Linked DNA regions of Bombyx mori. The protein of the gene in region 1 interacts with the protein of each later gene in a pairwise test. Links are inferred from orthologs where the notes say so. Each region holds a gene or a part of one and is shown in the gene's direction. Other genes may lie near its edges.

Evidence for each region. The genes of interacting proteins can lie anywhere in the genome.
Region 2: the proteins of pre-mRNA-splicing factor Slu7 (region 1) and peptidyl-prolyl cis-trans isomerase-like 3 interact in binary tests that used the Homo sapiens proteins (3 or more experiments, as listed by UniProt). The link is inferred for Bombyx mori from reciprocal best matches to the Homo sapiens genes SLU7 and PPIL3.

Annotation. Positions count from the first base shown.
Region 1 is NC_085129.1:14,361,029-14,364,788, forward strand, and holds the start of pre-mRNA-splicing factor Slu7, read left to right. Parts: upstream 1-1,327; 5' UTR 1,328-1,699; coding exon 1,700-1,865; intron 1,866-2,206; exon of another isoform or gene 2,207-2,893; intron 2,894-3,760. UniProt on the Homo sapiens protein: Required for pre-mRNA splicing as component of the spliceosome. Participates in the second catalytic step of pre-mRNA splicing, when the free hydroxyl group of exon I attacks the 3'-splice site to generate spliced mRNA and the excised lariat intron.
Region 2 is NC_085121.1:6,437,762-6,441,211, reverse strand, and holds peptidyl-prolyl cis-trans isomerase-like 3, read left to right. Parts: upstream 1-1,584; 5' UTR 1,585-1,704; coding exon 1,705-1,845; intron 1,846-2,225; coding exon 2,226-2,324; intron 2,325-2,400; coding exon 2,401-2,519; intron 2,520-2,711; coding exon 2,712-2,838; 3' UTR 2,839-2,909; downstream 2,910-3,450. Other genes in the region: sarcosine dehydrogenase, mitochondrial, read left to right, coding at 1-267. UniProt on the Homo sapiens protein: PPIases accelerate the folding of proteins. It catalyzes the cis-trans isomerization of proline imidic peptide bonds in oligopeptides. May be involved in pre-mRNA splicing.

The DNA of each region.
Region 1 (3,760 bases):
GGTCCGCTGATTGAATGCTGGGCGTCCACTGGGTTTGCAATGTATCGGCCAGCAGCTCTGCTTTTTCGTCGTCATCTAACGCCGCGGGTCGGCCTGAGGGGCCTACGAGGGGGGGCATAGTTACTAACGTATCCGATTTGAGACTACGAGCTAAGTGGTAGAAAGACCGTTGGAAGGTCGTGAGTCCTTCTGAGAAATCAGACCATCTGGCATCTCGGACTTCGGCGATGCGAGACTTTACGTCGCGTTGTAGGGCACGCATTCTAATACTATTTTCCTCGGTAGGATACCTATCGTAAGCGCGGATCGAGGCGTTCTTGGCTCTATGGAGTTCCCTAACATCGTCGGGCAATTTGAAGCGGTGAAGAAAATCCTCCACTACAACTTGCTTGGTTGGCCTATGTAATGTCGAGGTGATGTGTGACGTTACGATATCTATGGCTCCAGCGGTATCCTGAGGGGACGAGGTAGAGTCCGGGCTAAACGGGAGCGATAGCGGATCAGATTAAGTTAGTTTGATGCCGAGCGTGTGCCAACCCACCACAGTCCTCATTACTGGAAGTTGGAATCCCGCAGGCGGGTACCAATTTTTCTAATGAAGTACGTACTTAACAAATGTTTACGATTGACTTCCACGGTGAGAAAATAACACCGTGTAATAAAAATCAAACCCGAAAAATTATAATTTGTGTAATGACTGGTCGTGCGAACTTTTCCGTCCGCACGGGTAGGTACCACCACCCTGCCTATTTCTGCCGTGAAGCAGTAATGCGTTTCGGTTTGAAGGGTGGGGCAGCGGTTGTAACTATACTGAGACCTTAGAACTTATATCATATTTCAAGGCGGATGGCGGCATTTAAGTTGTAGATGTCTATGGGCTGTGGTAACCACTTAACACCAGGCTGGCTGTGAGTTCTTCCACAAATGCAATAAATAAATAAAGTAAATAAAAAGGTATCTTATTTTAAGATTTAGTTGTAAGACCTCTTATAATTACGGTTCAGCGGCCTAAGGACTGGTTTGGGGGTAAATTCCACCACGTGTGTAGACACTTCTACCGACACCACGACCACCCCTAGATCGGCCACGGGCTTCAGCATGTTGACTGGAAAAAAATAAGTATAAATTAGTTCATCCTAGAAGTAGGCTATAAGAACGGCCCACTAATTAACTTAAAACATTCTTCTTTGGACTATTGTTGCCACTCTTTCTTTAAAACAGCCAGTAGTGTGTATAAAGAGCGTGTCCGTATCTTTTTGGCTGTATCTGTTTTGGCTGAATGGGTGACACCTGCGTCTTTCCAGGTGGAAAAATCGAACTACAGAACCAATGAAGTAGGTCTATGTACAGAACACATTCACATTTGACACATCCAAACAAATAGTGTTCTGTGCATCCAAACTTCACAATCTTTGAGTTTGAGTTATTATTCTCTGGCTAAAGCAGTGGGCTAAAGTAATAAATAAAATTATAGTTCATACACGATATGCGTATTAAAAAAAATCGACACTTCTAACAACTTATGTCTTCAGTTTTTAATGTTGAAATAGTTCAAAAATAAAAAAGATCGAAAAGACATAGTGAGTTGTGAACCCAAAAATTGATGTTTTCGTTTGTGACTTTTTTATCACAAAAACTACAACCAAAGTAATCGTGAATAAAATTAATCACAACGTACTAAGAAAATATTGTACAGACAATGGCGACGACGTCTCGTGTACCTATATCACAAATTTTACGCAATAAAGATGACACCGAAGAAGACGATGAGCCCAAGAAGAAATCTAGGGAAGACTGGAGAAAAGCTAAAGAGTTAGAGGAGGCCAGAAAAGCTGGAACAGCACCAGCCGCTGTTGATGAAACAGGTTTGTCGATTTTGACCTTATCCTATTCATGATTTCAATTATTTGTAAACAAGATAAAATTATCTATAGTGCTAATGTAAACCTATAGGTTATTGCTGACGTCTTCTATCAAAAGGTGTGCAGTATTTTCATGTGACTTCCACTTTATAAGAAATTGGGAATAGTATATGAGTTCTCCCAATAATGCTGAACTTATACTCACACTTAGGAGTGGGTGATATAAAACATATATAGATTCAATATCTATATATCGCAGCAATATCGTTGAATCCGATATCGCCCCGCACGAAATCTATATATCGATATCAGCCGATACACGATATTGCTCGATGTGATGCGCATCAGCATATCGTACCGATTCGTGAATATCAGCAATATTCGTTTGGTTCGTATCGAATCGGCCAGAGTGAGTGAGCGCACGATAGGGATATCATGTGATGAATGAAACAGAAACAGGCATTATCCATACAATTGTAAACCTTATAATTAAGCCCATATGTCTGTAGATTATTCTTAGCGTATCAGCAGGATACAATTTAGGAAAGAAGTTTCAACTTTCGACCCTAACTTGAATGCAGTATAGCCTATTTGCATCGTTGAATTTAATTTCATGCGCTTTGACCTTGAACTAGAATTTTTGGACAAGTGTTTATAAATACTTAAAAGTTTTTTGTGTTTGATTTTTAAAGTACACATTTTTCTATTTTTAGTTGAATCCCAAAAATTGAGTTTATTTCTTGTGTTTGTATTAAACTTTTGAAATCTACACTCTTTTGGTATATTTTGTAATTTTAAATTAAGACACAAAATACTAAAAACTGAAAATAATGTAGCCAGTCCTAAGACTGGTAAAGAAAAAAAGGGGTGACGTCGAGTGTGAACACAAGTGTCTTCGAAGTTTCCCGGTGTTTTAATTAATATTATTTGTTTAAATTGCTGTTGACTTGCGCTACTGATTCGTGTTGGTGTTGGTATATATCTGTTGTGCCGTGAGTGTAAATATATTGTGTTTGTTATATTATTAAAAGGTAAGAATCATGGATGACCCGCACGATCCCGGGGGAGGTTATAAAGGACCACGTGCGCCCCACTCACAAAACTTTTCTTCTCAGATGGATATAGATCCACCCAATTCCAGAAAACGACCACCACAGTCTGAGGAAAACATTCCCCCTAAAAAAACGATTACTAATCTTTCACAAACTTCGCCGTCGATTCAGTCCACGTACACACATCCCGATTTTGTTGAACGTAAGACCCGATACTGTGAAGATGACATTGCCCCTTTTTTAGTCCACGTTAATAAGACGGTAACAGATGTGTCTGCTGGTCCCACCTTGAAACCCATCAAATTCGGACACTTTCTATTCAGAAACAGCATAAAAAATGTAATACAGGATGGTGTGAAACGCATTGGCCGCAACAGGGTTTCAGTGGAATTTAAATCTGCTGCTGCGGCTAACGCTTTTCTAGAACACCCAGCACTTCAGCCGGCTAAATTTGAAGCGAACATCCCATCTTATAATGTTACACGAATGGGAATTGTGCGTGATGTTCCAGTAGAATGGACTTTAGAGGAGCTGGTCCAATCGGTAGAAGTTCCTGCTGGCTGCGGTGCAGTCATTAAAGCACGCCGCTTGAATAGGAAGAAAATAGAAAATAATGTCCCTACCTGGATACCTACCCAATCTGTAGTTTTAACTTTCTCTGGTCAAAAACTTCCAAATCGGATTTTCTGCTTTTTTACTTCTCTCCCAGTTGAAGTTTATGTCCTTCCCATTATCCAGTGCAACAAGTGCTGCCGATTCGGCCATATTTCAACGCAGTGCCGATCAGCCCCTCGTTGCTTTATTTGCTCCCAACCCCACGAAGGAATTACCTGCTCGAAGTCATCC
Region 2 (3,450 bases), on another chromosome or scaffold:
CGCGGAGACTACGGCCACTATCTAGACAAACCAATAGGGATTGGTTACGTTACGAACAAAGACTCGATCGTGACCAAAGAGTATTTGAAAGAAGGAAACTACGAGATAGAAGTGATGGGACAGAAGTACAAGGCGACGTTTCACTTCAAATCCCCTTTCGACCCTCACGGGCAAAGGCTGCTCGGAAACTACGGAGATCAGGGCATGGATGAGAACACGCACGAACCTCACGCTGGACAAAACGAACGGGCTGGCGGCAGTGAATAATAGCTACTTACTTGCCGTATCATACCAACAACTCTTTGCACAATTTTTTTTTTTAAATATATGTAACGTTCTGTGACTGATGAAGTTTGAAATAAAAAAATATTTTAACATAATTTAATATAACTTTATTACGAACCTTGTAAAAACGAATGGCTTAAATATGATTGATACGTGGAATAGACTTATTGAAAAATAGTATAATTTTGAAAGATATATGCAATGCGTACGTATATTGAAGAAATAAAACTCAATTTCTCAGAAATATGTTTCGGCGATTTATGCTGCCGATATACATAAATATTTTATGAGAGTACGTTGTCTCTTTCCCACAAATTTGAATATCAATTTGAATCCGTTCGGCATTTAAGAGCAACTGGAGGATGACCGTTTTTTATGAATGTTCTGAATGACGGATGTTTTTTAGAAATTATATTTAAATACGAATTACATATTGATATTATATAATTTGCTATTTTCTTTCAATAAAAAAAAAGTTTATGTTTAAGTTGATTATCGATAAAGTTGATTATTAAAAACACGAATAAAACAACATTTTCTGAAAATAAATCGTAGCTAGATTGATTTATCGTCCCCGAAATCTCGTGTATACTAAATTTTATGAAAATCGTTGGAGCCGTTTCCGAGATTCAGATTATATATTTATATACAAGAATTGCTCGTTTAAAGATATAAGATTTCTAATTGAAGAGAAATTTCTAAGAATGAAAAATAAGATTTTGTCTTAAGCTTAGATAATTAATAGAATTTTACCGCTCCGATATGCGTTATAAACGCGAACTTCGTACAATACGGCTTCGTTTATGTTAAATCCTCTTATCATGGCCGTCTCTAATTGCTTACCCGACAGATGACGGGGCAACGCACAGCCGCCGTCGACCTAAGCACGGCATTTTGGTTCTTCCCAATCTGTACTTTCAGGCATTCCAACCACCGTTCACCGTTCTTGTGCGACTTAACCTGCGGACAACTCACTAATCTGTTTCCTATCAGTTGGTCGCGATTTCGATTCGTTGGTAGATTCAGCAAAAACGTTACACTCGCAGATGTTCACAACGTATTTGATACTGAACGCCGTCAGTTCATCTGCCATCTACTACCATGCTAAATCCTGACCATTATGTTTTTGTGTCCCATATGCATCGTATATGCAAAATTTCATGGTGATCACTGAGTAGTTAAGACGTGAAAGCTTAACAAAGTCATTTTCACATTTATAATGTTAGTGTGAAACAAGGTTTAATATGATTTAATCTACAGTCATTTCCCCTTCGTTTCAATTCGATACAAAGTTGTCACTGTCAACTGGTCAATGTCTTTTTACGTCAACGTCAGTTGTCCATAACTTAAAAAAATAACAATATCTAAACAAAATATTTATTATGTAAAATTGTATTAATAAGTTATAATCTGGAAACAATGGCAGTTACTTTGCACACAGACGTCGGAGATATCAAGATTGAATTATATTGCGAGCAATGTCCGAAAGCGTGTGAGAATTTTCTAGCTCTATGTGCAAGTGATTACTATAATGGTTGTTTATTCCACAGGAATATAAAGGTATTTGAATAAATCTTATAAGTGAGTCGTCTATTATCAAAGGTGGCAATCTGTGCATTTGGACAAAAAAATGTTATTGGTATGTCAATACAGATTGATTTGAATATAATCGTCTCCTTCAAAGAATACGGTTCAAAACCTGCATTAAATAAAGGTTAATAGTTAACCTGTTATTTATCTAAGATGTCGTTCCGAAGAGTTTTGTGACTGCCAATGGAATACAAAGTCAATAATTCGTTTTTCTGATTTACCAATAATTATCCAAAAGTCAGATTGTCGGCTTTGATAATAGTCAACTCAAGTGTAGTATTGTGAAGATTGAGTAAAAGGTCGTTATGAAGTAAAGTTAATAAATTTCCATGCAAATTCTATTTGTTCAGGGATTTATAGTACAAACTGGTGATCCCACGGGAACTGGGAAAGGCGGTACGTCTATTTGGGGAAGAAAATTTGAAGATGAAATTAAGGATGAACTCAAGGTTTGCAAAAAAAATTGAAATCTTCACTCATGATTTAAAATGATTTCAAACACATAACCCCTAAGTATTTTTTCAGCATAACGCAAGAGGTGTAGTTAGTATGGCAAATAATGGGCCAAACACGAATGGAAGCCAATTTTTCATTACGTATGGAGAACAACCTCATCTAGATTTAAAATATACCATTTATGGAAGGTTAGTGTAACTTTATGAATGACTTATAAATTCATTCACCAATACATGAGTTATAAATCATTATTTTTAAAATGAAATATACACAATATTTCAAGATATTTTTTAGCTATTATAACAATGTGTTCTGTTCAAGTACTCAGAGTTGATCAATAAATGAGTAAAACAATTAGGTAATCTTTTGCTTTGTTTTAGGGTAATCGATGGTTTTGAAGCATTAGATGATTTAGAGAAGATGCCAGTAAACCCCAAATCTTTTAGACCACTGACAGAAGCCAAGATCACATCTGTCACAATCCATGCAAATCCATTAGCTGGTTGATCAAGACTATAGGCTTGCATATTGAGACTGGAATACTTTTTATTAAGTAAATAAATCAAATGTGCATACTATGTTTTTTTTTATCCTTTTGCCAATGAACGAAGAATTACCTCAATAACTTGTTTGGTGCTAATTAAACAAAAAAGATAACATGGAAATGAACATTTTATTATAAGTTTCAGATTTTTGTGAACATTACAGAGAATATGTATCTCGATCAATAGTGCAATGCTTTAGTGTTCCAAATTATTTCGTGTTTCATAACAACAGTCACATTATTTATTATGTATCACACTAGTTAACTAATATCTGAGTATGTCACATGTATGACTAACTACAGCTAGTTTTCTAAAATCTTTGGATTAACTGCAATATTTACAAATCAAACTACACAATTAGTTAGGTACTGAGTTTCAATACATTAGAAATCGTCCATACATTTTCCTTTTAAGATACACTACTTTATTTATTTAATCCATATCGATGTTTTAAAGGCAAACGTGACTAAGCAACAATAACTGCTTTGTATATAAATGATAGGCAATAATCATATTCAATGCGCAAAAAATATATATTTCTAGGTCTATTAAAATCATTTCAATCATACAGCTA